Bombyx mori: one gene and its partners. The protein of the gene in region 1 interacts with the protein of each later gene in a pairwise test. Links are inferred from orthologs where the notes say so. Each region holds a gene or a part of one and is shown in the gene's direction. Other genes may lie near its edges.

Region 1 (3,517 bases):
TAATGATTTGTATTTCGTTTCGACAGGTACGTATGACAGATACATATTATGCAGCACTGTTGGCACAGAACCCAGAAACTCAAGCTGGCATTCTACACTATCCTCCCCACTTCGGGTACCATCCTGGGATGAGAGGAGACCAAAGCAAGTGAGTAGCATAAAATTTCCGTCGACACCTATGCAAGCTTAGTGTTCGCTCACGGGGCGCGCATGCACATAAACTCTCTTGAGGTCATCCAATCCCGTTTCTGCAGGATAGCCGCCGGAGCATCGTGGTACGTGAGGAATGTTGACCTTCACGACGACCTAAATTTAGAACCTATACGTAAGCATCTTAAGGTAGTGTCAGAACACTACTTCGACAAAGCGGCGCGACACGATAATCCGCTTAGTGTGTACCGCCGCTAATTACTTATCCTGCCCAAGCGACGGGTCAATGCAAAACCGCCGTCGCCCAAAACATGTCTTGTCGGATCCACCGGATTTACTCTCGGTGCTTTTAGGCCTCCAGCACCGGTTCTCGTGGAACTCGTCGATTCCACGAGTGAACTAACCCATAGATACAGCCTACTGAGTTTCTCGCCAGATCTTGTCGGTGGGTCGCTATTCCGATCCGGTGGTAGATTCAGCGAAGCACTGCTCTTGCTAGGGCTGGTGTTAGCAAATTCTGTCAGGTTGAACCCGTGAGCTCACCTACCCGTCCGATCGTAGCTGGAATTGCCCTGTATACTACCAACGAATAGGTAGGAAAAAAGAGTTGGCGTTTTTTTTTTTATTGCTTAGATGGATGGATGAGCTCACAGCCCACCTGGTGTTAAGTGGTTACTGGACCCCATAGACATCCACAACGTAAATGCGCCATCCACCTTGAGATATAAGTTCTAAGATCTCAGTATGTACATTTGACAAGTTTTGGTTCCATTAATATATACACTAATTTAAAAAACTAGTTTTTCTTCATTTTTGTGTCAACTCTCTGTGTCATACGTTATACAATTCTCTATTGTTAATGTCTGTAATCTGTTTATTTTGTCCACCAGACAACCACACCCACGTTCATTGAACCAGCAAGACCGATCAAATTCTGCTCCAAATGTTTGCATCAACATGGTGCAGAAGCCTTTGACGCTAGCTGAACATCAAAAATGCTACAGTCAGGTAATATAGTTTTTCTAACCATCAACACAATTATGGTCCTGTGTGCTTAGTGCGAGTTTTTTAACGTTTTCGTTAGCGTAAAAGTTAACTCACAGTTATATGGAGTTGGAATGTTTGCCTACGTTTGCCGCTAGGGGCGCTGTTCTAACTGCATAGAGTTGACTTTTACGCTATCGAGAACGTTCAAAAAACTCGCACTAGGCACACTGGTGTGGATACAGGTACAGAGGTTCTAGTGAGACTAACGTTCGTAACAATTAGTTAGACTAACTCTAAAGTTCAGCGACAATCATAGAATACGAACCCTCGCTTAGTATTATTATTTATTTAACATAATTTTATTCGAAAATATATATGAAAACATCAAAATAATCTATTCTTCTGTTTCATAAACGAAATGTAACTCGATTATTAATCAGCGGAGGCGTGACGCTGCACGAGGGACCGCATACCGTTGTACTTAGTACATTACCGCTCTTAAACTGGAATTAGCAGAATTATTGAAACTCTAAACAAATAATTTTCACAATGACAGGTTAAACTGACAGTTTCGTTCCGACTGACTAAGTGACGGCCCGACTCTGACGTACCACCATTTCATACTTTGGCATTACAGCGTCTACCCTACATTTTTCTGATATTTATCAAAACAGCATTTGATCATTTAAAATAATAATTTTTACTAGTGGTAGAGGACCTCTTGTGAGGCCGCGCGAGTGGGTACCACCACCCTGCCTATTTCTGCCGTGAAGCAGTAATGCGTTTCGGTTTGAAGGGTGGGGCAGCCGTTGTAACTATACTTGAGATCTTAGAACTTATATCTCAAGGTGGGTGGCGCATTTACGTTGTGGATGTCTGTGGGGTCCAGTAACCACTTAATACCAGGTGGATTGTGAGCTCGTCCACCCATCTAAGCAATAAAAAAAAAACGTGTGGCAATCGGGAACTGCCGCGATAAAGCTATTGCATAGCATTTTTTATCAACTTATGCAATTATAATTAGACAATGACAATTTAATATTAAAACAATAATAAAACAAGAAGACGCTATATTAAATATTAATAAAAGCAAAACCTTAACTGTCCCCTTCACACTCATAAGCTAGACCGCGTGAGAGAGAGATGGGCAGACTTTTCATGATGCGCATGCAGTGTGACGTCACGCCACGCGCTTATTCACGAACACTACACAAGCGCAACGTGTGAATGTGTTGAACGCGAGCTACATGGTAGGCGGAGTGAGGGGTGTAAGATTTTTTTCGTTACGGAATTTCATGATTCGGTCGCCGCGCTCAGGCCCGCGATAAAATCTATGCAATAGCTTAAAAAAAACAACACTGTCTTAATATTAGTGAAGTCGTTATATTGTTGCTGGGCGTACAGCACGGCAGCGACAACTCCACGCAGTCGTCGAACTATCTGAGCTCGAGCGGGCCCAGCAAGGACGAGGCGGACGACAGCGACCATCCGCACAGCCACAGCACGCAGGTGACGCATCACGACACTCGACACTACACCACACACATCATCCTCTTATTGCACACTTATAACATTTACATTACTGCTATTTAAATTGACAAACAATTAAGATGTAGGTAATCATATAAACACGAAAGAGGTCTGGTCATGGAGTAAGAGCCTGAGCTTTGAATCTATAACATTAGAAAAAGCTATGCGAATAGTTCTCGAAGAAATCTAATATACTCAAACCCAATGGATAAAACCGCGTACACATATGGTCATGTAATGTGAAGTGTATATATTTATTTATTGCTTAGCTGGGTGGACGAGCTCACAGCTCACTTGGTGTTAAGTAGTTAGCGGAGTCCGTAGACATCTACAACGTAAATGTAGGTAGGCAGCGGCTTGGCTCTGCCTCCTGGCATTGCTGAAGTCCATGGGCGACGGTAACCACTCACCATCAGGTGGGCCGTATGCTCGTCTGCCTACAAGAGCAATAATATAAAAATAATAAAAATTCACTTGAGATATGAGTTCTAAGGTATCAGTATAGATACAACGGCTGCGCCGCCCTTCAAACCGGAATGTATTACTGCTTCACGGCAGAAATAGGCAGGGTGGTGGCATCTACCCCACCCTCCTGGTGGTGCGGACTCACAAGAGGCCCTACAATCAGTAAAAAGGTTGAACACGAGAATACAACTGTGCCGCAGACGTCTCCGACGGGCACGCTGCGGCCGCGGCGGGCGCGCGCGCGCTCTGCGGACGAGTCGTGGAAGAACGCGCTGTCGCCGCGGGAGAGCTACGATGACTGGGTCATCCCGGCCGACGAGATACTCATCGGCGCCAGGATAGGTCAGTCCCTCCGCATCTCAGTCTCAGTCTAGTGCAGCGGTCG
Region 2 (4,060 bases), on another chromosome or scaffold:
TGGCAGTCACAAAACTCTTCTGAACGACATCTTAGATAAATAACAGGTTAAGTATTAACCTTTATTTAATGCAGGTTTTGAACCGTATTCTTTGAAGGAGACGATTATATTCAAATCAATCTGTATTGACATATCGATAACATTTTTTTGTCCAAATGCACAGATTGCCACCTTTGATAATAGACGACTCAATTATAGCACACGTGTAGCATTTTTTCTGTTTTGGTAAAAACCATTAAATTATTTATATAATTAGCCTGTTCTCGACCATTTTTTTATTTATCAGACACACAATACACATTACAAGCTAAAAAGATACACAAAAAGTAACAACAAGTAAAAAAAAACTGGCTTGCAACATAACATATTTCTCTTATGTAACAGAAAATGTATTATTTATTTTTAGTTAATTATTATTAACTTGTAGTAACAGTATTCCTACTTACCTCAATCGTTTTGAAGAAGTCGTCGTGGCCTAAAGGATAAGACGCCCGGTGCATTCGTGTCGAGTAATGCAACGGTGTTCGAATCACGCAGGAGGGGACCAATTTTTTTAATGAAATACATACCTACTTAACAATTGTTCACGATTGACTTCCTCGGTGAAGGAATAACATCGTGTAATAAAAATCAAACCCGCAAAAATTATAATTTAACTATATTTGTAATATGTAGTTGAGATCTTAGAACTTATATCTCACGGTGGGTGGCGCATTTACATTGTAGATGCCTATGGCTCCAGTAATCACTTAACACCAGGGGAGCTGTGAGCTCGTCGACCCATCTAAGCAATAAAACAAAATTAAAAAATGCGTAATGACTGGTGCAAGGACGTCTGTCCGCACGGGTAGGTAGGTACCACCACCCCGCCTATTTTTGCCGTGAAGCAATAATGCGTTTCGGTTTGAAACATGGAGCAGCCTGTAATAATAAAACTGAAACCTTACAACATTTAAAACCTTACGTTTAAATTAAGGCTTCAACCTTTTTGTAGCGACATCTGTTGTGGTTTGGTTGAATTAATTACCAGTTTGATTTTGGCAAATAAAAAGATTAGTAAAAATTGGAAACGTTCAGAATTCTAAAACTAAAAATACATTCATTTAACATATGATAATTAATATAAAGTTTGAAGAAAAATGATATATCTCTTCTTAATATTACTTTTTGCAAAGTAACAAAGAAAACGTTTAAATTTGTTTTGGGATGACTCATCAAGTGACAAGTACCTTTTAGTTTCTGAACGTACTCTCGCACTCCAGTAAAAGGGTGAGTGAACCGCCTCATTGTGTTATTTATTGCATTTGACTCTAATAATACATTAATTAGCCGTTTTACGGTCACATCAAGTGTAATAAAACATAGGCCGCGACAGCCATGCAGATGTGAGTAATACAAGTGTGGTGATTCTGGGGCGTTGTTTTCTAGTGCCGTGACATTGTGTGAAAAAATATTTTGTATATCTCGCAAGATGACCGAGTACAAATTGGTGGTTGTGGGTGCGGGAGGCGTTGGTAAATCCGCATTGACTATACAGCTGATACAGAATCACTTCGTGGACGAATACGATCCCACGATAGAGGATTCGTACCGTAAACAAGTCGTGATCGACGGTGAGACGTGTTTACTCGACATCCTGGACACGGCTGGCCAGGAAGAGTATTCGGCGATGAGAGACCAATACATGCGGACCGGGGAAGGATTCTTGCTGGTATTCGCCGTCAACAGTGCTAAAAGTTTCGAAGACATTGGCTCGTATCGCGAGCAGATCAAGCGAGTGAAGGACGCGGAAGAGGTGCCCATGGTACTTGTGGGCAACAAGTGCGACCTACAGTCGTGGGCCGTAGACATGGCGCGAGCACGAGAGGTTCGTAAACATTCTTACATCATCATAATAAAACTCATTACCTAATAAACAAAAATTTCTATACAAACTTACAAAATCAATAAAATTTGTGTTCTGCATTCTGTCATATGAGTTTTTTCTCTCATAAATTCCCATTGCTTTTAATATATTATCTGAATGTTTTTAGTACCGAAAATATATCCAAAGAACAACTTTACATAAACACAATACTTCCTCCTCAAAAACCTTGGATTTGACTTTGTGTAAGACAAGATCAAGTACAATTAAATAGTACCATGTTTATAATGATAAAACAAATGAGATAAGCTAAAATTATTATAGAATTTCACTTTAAATTTATTTAAAACATTAAACATTTTTGAGTCAAACTTAGAACTTGTTCTTTTTGTGTAACATCAAGTTTTTTTTTTCATTAAGATAATAATATGAGCTATTTATCTTTGTCTTAAGATAAAATGGCCATTGCCAGTTACCTATTAAGTTTATGATTCTCATGGACATTTGTTTGTTTATTATTGATTTCTGCCTGAACTTCTGAGGAATTTAGGACACATTTTTATCAATTCTTTTGGACTTACTTAGTTTGAAAACATGATTGTGTAAATAAATAATTTGCCTTCTGTCAGTAAAGCATACTGGAATTTAATGTAGTCTTATTTTTGTATGTGAAACTTCTGTTTTGGAGTAATGCATAATTAACCTACCATCTAGAGTATTTTAGAGCAAACAAAATGATACAACCCTAACATAAAGGCTTTTAAGAAAAAGAGGTTAGTTTGCATATTTTCTAACAGACATGTGCGAAACACAGTGTAGTGTGGTTCGGCTTGTGTGAAAAGAATTCATTGAATTTACAAATAAAGTTAAAAATAGTTTATGGCTAATATTCATTAAGTCCTAACTTGACTGAAAAAGTTCAAAAGTTAAACACAGCTAATTACTGTGTACTCTTGTCATCAGTACCCACAGTTGATATAGATCATTAACAGTTTTAGTTATAATTTACTGTCTCACCTAATTGACCTCGATATGTAGTGTGCCTAAGACTAACATAGCAGAAGCATTTTTTTAATTAATTACAAACACACCTTACTGTTTAGTTAAGACTTTTGTAGTTTAATCTTGTGTTTTGTAGTCACAAAAGACACAAGAGGTATTATTCACCGACATCCGAATACCGTACTAATTACTGTAAAATATGAAATAAAAATAATTAATTATTTTAATTGTGTAAACTGTAAAAATGATTTTAATTATCTCTAGAACTCCCGAAAATTTTAAGCAATACCTACACTTTACATTTAGACTTTAAACTTAAAATAATTAAAAAACTGCTATTATTTTCATGTATAACAAGGCACTATAAAAAAAAATATCCCCGGAATTGAGAACTACTGGTACCGAAAGTATTTGTACATGGATCTCGACAATACTCCTTGTATTTTTAGCTATTTGAGTCTCAATTATTTACTTGAATTCTAACTTCCTTCTACTTTTATAATCTCTCTCAATTCTCAGCACTGTAATTTCTTATGTACAGATCATCTATGAACAATACGATATCCAGTTAACAGTGAAACATGAGCTCACGTCTAATCTAAGAAACAGACTTTCTCCAATTACCGTTACAGACTTTTACGTGAGTTTTATCCAATTTCCTCTACAGGCTGCACATACCTCACTGTTTTTCTCCTTGTGTCTCTATATTAAAATGACACAAACATTAAAATGTTATTTCATTATTTATTCATTATTTTATTGAATATTCAGATATTTTGTCAACATAATAATAGCATTTCCTTATGCATTAGCTAACAATAATTACTGTTATATTAATTATAACATGAAAACAAAAATTGATTAGTCACTAAATAGGATTTAAACTGCTATTAAAAACAGAACATATTTCTGTATTACATAATAATATGTTATAACTGTGGGAAACCTACTTATAATAAAATTTGTCATCACAGTAGTTGTTTAATCTTATTTTGAAAATGCTTCTGTAGCCTACCACCAGTGATAATATACAATAATTCTAACAAATATATGAAACACGCTAACATTCTCCATATTGATATAACATATTTTTAATTCATGTTATGGTGAGACTATGATAGGGCTTCTCAGGGTATACCACTGCAGCGATTGCTTTGTCCAGCCATTTTGCATCAAGGAGGTGGATCTTAGAGC
Region 3 (3,871 bases), on another chromosome or scaffold:
GTTTCCCGAGCGCTATGACATGTCCTTCTTCAAACGAGGCTCGTGGAGAGTATTAAGCGGTAGCCAGTGGCTTGACTCTGCCCCTGGCATTGTTGAAGTCCATGGGCAACGGTAACCACTCACCGTCAGGTGGGCCGTATGCTCAGTGGCGGATTTGCAGTCTCGGCCGCCCTAAGCCCCAAGCCATTAGCCGCCCCTTTCTCAGCATCCACCATATAGACTACATAATGAAATTACTTTATTGCCAACTTTTAGCTAAATAGATTTAGAAAAGTAGGAAAAAAAATAGTTTAAAAAACAGAAGAATATTTAAGGATGCGGTATAGATTGCATCATGCAGTGCAGTCCGCCCGCCATACGTTAAATCCTTAAATCTGGCCGCCCTAGGCCCGGGCCTACCGGGCCTTAGGGTAAATCCGCCACTGCGTCTGCCTACAAGGGCAATAAACAAAAAAAAGCCCTGGAGATCTCGCGACCCAGTCGTATTAAAGCATGAGGCATTTGAAGACACCATTTTATTCATTGGAACGGCCTCCTTTAAAACTGAGATTGCTTCATTAAATAAAAAATAAACAGGAGGATGATATAAAGAAATAAAATTTATAATATAGCTTATACTGATAACAATTAATTCTCCCTAAAGTGTCGTGTCCTTAGCGACAACCTTTTGAAAATTTGTTGCACTGCCCTCTGTACACAGCTTTTAGAACTATTAGCAGTCTAAATAAATAAAAATTGTCTTGCGTAGCTACACTAGCTACATAGATAAAAAAACGAAAAATTTATCAAATAACATACGATTCCTTTTTTTAAAAATTACACTAATTAATATTATAAAATTATTTTTTACGAAAATTTGTTAAATTAATGCATTTATTCGCTAGTCAGTACAATTGATTGTTCTAAATGAAATAATTGTACTGGTCCTGTGCAGCGTCCTGTTCATGATTTTTTATTAGTCGTTCTGTGTCTGCTAAAAGTAGAACACGAAACAAAAATAGTTTTATTTAAATTAGCCGAGTCGATATACTATAGTTTGTGAGTAGAAATATTTATATTCTTAATACTAGTGAACTGAATAGTAGGTAGTCAATGGGAAATCAGGTTAATTTTTCAAGTCAGCAACACTAACATAGTGAGCCATCGCCCTCTTAACGGTGTCATGGCGGTTTGACTTGTTGAAGGTTTTTTTTGCAATAATTACCAAGTTAATGTGCTTATTACCGATTTGATCTTTAATTTCTATAAACAAATTCAAGTGACACAATATAGGGAATAATGCGCGAGTACAAAATAGTTGTGTTAGGCAGCGGAGGCGTGGGAAAGTCCGCCCTGACAGTGCAATTTGTACAAGGCATCTTTGTCGAGAAATACGACCCAACCATCGAAGACAGCTACAGGAAACAAGTGGAAGTTGATGGACAGCAATGTATGCTCGAGATCCTGGATACCGCAGGTACAGAGCAGTTTACCGCGATGCGGGATCTCTACATGAAGAACGGGCAAGGGTTCGTGTTGGTGTACTCTATCACAGCACAGTCTACGTTCAATGACCTACAGGATCTACGTGAACAAATCCTGCGAGTGAAGGACACGACCGACGTGCCAATGGTTCTGGTAGGCAACAAAACCGATCTAGAGGCGGAGCGCGTGGTTGGCAAGGAACAGGGACAAAATCTGGCGCGCCACTTCAACTGCGCTTTCATGGAGACGTCGGCAAAAGCGAAAATACATGTTAACGATGTGTTCTATGACTTAGTGAGACAGATCAACAAGAAGTCCCCCAAGAAGGATGAACACAAACCTAATAAACGGAAATGTATTATTCTGTAAGAGTGCTGTACGAGTCTCCGACGCGTCTAGGTATAAATATATTTAATAATTTGAAAGACTTCTTGTACCCAGATTTGGCTCTCGGCAGTTCCCAAAGTTTATCTAGGTCGGGTGATGAACATTGTTGCTTCAAAATACCTGTATGAGAATGTGTGTTTGTTACACTGTATATTACATGTGCGGTAACACTCGTGAAATCCAGTGTCACTGATGATAACCACATTTTCTCTGTACAGGCGTAGTTAATAATATCTTACTCTATTTTGATAGTACAGTATTTGAGGATAAATTCATTGTCTTTGTGTGTTTCACTCTAGAAAATTCCATTTGTATTGTGTGGATGCGGTTAGATTGCGAAGTTGTAAATGATTATAAAAAAAATATTCCTTTACTACTTATGATGTAAAACATTGTATTTTGAGCCTATGGGGAGTGTGTCCCATTCTTATCTAAAACTTCAAAGTATATGATTGAACAAACCGTAATAGACTCCACAGTAAATATTTTTCGATGTCAGCATGCACTCTCCATGGCCTCCTCAGTATTAGAATCAATTCCATTTTTTTTTTCAAAATTCAGTGGAAAATTTTATGAATTGTGTTATTATAAATAACCGTGTTGGGTACAGACAGTCTTCTGTCAATTACACAGGAAAATTCCTGAGAAAACAACACATTTGCCATGAAACGCATCAAGGGCACACGCATTAAACAAACAATTCATATTATTCATTTGAAATTGTTAAAATGCCAGTTATTAAGCATTTAGTTTTTATTTGCTGTTTGGACCTAACATAAGGTTGTTAACTAGAGTCTAATTGTACTGATTGGAATTATCCGTTATGTCTATGTGACATTTAGACGGAGGCTGTAGAAGACAAGCTCGGTGTATTCTGTGCCAGCTGGTCTGAACCAGTGTAATGTTTAATAATTAAGGATACATTAAATTTTTTCAGATATATTATTGTCTTGTTATATAATTCAAGTGTATTGAAGAGAATGTTAGCGTAACAGTTTAGAACTTGATAAATTTAAATTTTAGAGAAGCCTTAGGTGATTGCACCCTGCAGATAGTTGTTGATGTCTCTATGGTGGAGTCCTGTGCCATTTGTTGTGCTTACACCATTGGCACTGTACAATTGACCCCTAAAAATATAAAGAGTTCTAAATAAAAATTATCGTTATTATAAATAAAATGAAGTTTACTAATTACAGTCTCATTTTTTAATATTAATTAAATACCAGCCAACGTTTTGCTGCTAGAACTTTGTTAAAAGTAATGATAGATGTTTGAAATATTGTTACGAGAATTAGATGTTTCCTCAATTTTTCTTCTGTTAAAGTTAATGACTACTGCACAAGGATATTGGTATAAAAACTTTGATCTGAGTTTTTAATTATATTTTTTTATATATATTGTGCAAATCAAAGAAAATATTGTATATTTTTATCTTTCGATCAATAATAATCGACATGTACAATAAATATTAATTTCTTTTTCTTTTGCAAATTTATCAATAAAACCAATTTTAAATATGATGTCTTAGGGTATATTTTGTCCCTCCCGTGATGCTCCCCTCATGTCAATTGACCTGGTTAGTGTCTGATGAGTCATGGTACAACTATCGGTCCTGGCGCGACGTACCCCCACCGACAATCAAATAAACACCAATTGACTCGGAGAATTTTAATGGTTTATAATCAAATTAAACGACAGCACATCATCTGCTACTATTTTATTTCAGTGTAAAAAAGATACATAAAAAGTGTTGCTTACACGTTATAGAACACACAATAATATTAAATATAAACGCAGTGAGACGTGGCGGTCGTATGTCGACATTCTAGTAACATAAGAATTGACACAGTCCTACATATTAACGTAATTCTAACAAAGTACGACAGAACTATGATAATCAAGCAATCTAGCTAGTTAGATAAAATAAGTATTATATTAATTCACCACTGGCACACCCCATATTGTGTAACAAGATCTAACGCATAGATCGAGCACACCATGGGATGAACTATGAAGCTAA

The links. The genes of interacting proteins can lie anywhere in the genome.
Region 2: the proteins of raf (region 1) and Ras1 interact in a two-hybrid assay, tested with the Drosophila melanogaster proteins (2 studies listed by BioGRID). The link is inferred for Bombyx mori from reciprocal best matches to the Drosophila melanogaster genes Raf and Ras85D.
Region 3: the proteins of raf (region 1) and Ras3 interact in a two-hybrid assay, tested with the Drosophila melanogaster proteins (2 studies listed by BioGRID). The link is inferred for Bombyx mori from reciprocal best matches to the Drosophila melanogaster genes Raf and Rap1.

Annotation. Positions count from the first base shown.
Region 1 is NC_085121.1:974,363-977,879, reverse strand, and holds part of raf (raf kinase, effector of Ras), read left to right. Parts: intron 1-26; coding exon 27-148; intron 149-1,040; coding exon 1,041-1,158; intron 1,159-2,541; coding exon 2,542-2,646; intron 2,647-3,332; coding exon 3,333-3,474; intron 3,475-3,517.
Region 2 is NC_085127.1:13,622,847-13,626,906, reverse strand, and holds the start of Ras1 (ras-like protein 1), read left to right. Parts: upstream 1-1,260; 5' UTR 1,261-1,471; coding exon 1,472-1,867; intron 1,868-3,590; exon of another isoform or gene 3,591-4,060. UniProt on the Drosophila melanogaster protein: Ras proteins bind GDP/GTP and possess intrinsic GTPase activity. Plays a role in eye development by regulating cell growth, survival of postmitotic ommatidial cells and differentiation of photoreceptor cells.
Region 3 is NC_085112.1:14,078,507-14,082,377, reverse strand, and holds Ras3 (ras protein), read left to right. Parts: upstream 1-1,167; 5' UTR 1,168-1,278; coding exon 1,279-1,833; 3' UTR 1,834-3,371; downstream 3,372-3,871. UniProt on the Drosophila melanogaster protein: Ras proteins bind GDP/GTP and possess intrinsic GTPase activity. Plays a role in photoreceptor cell determination.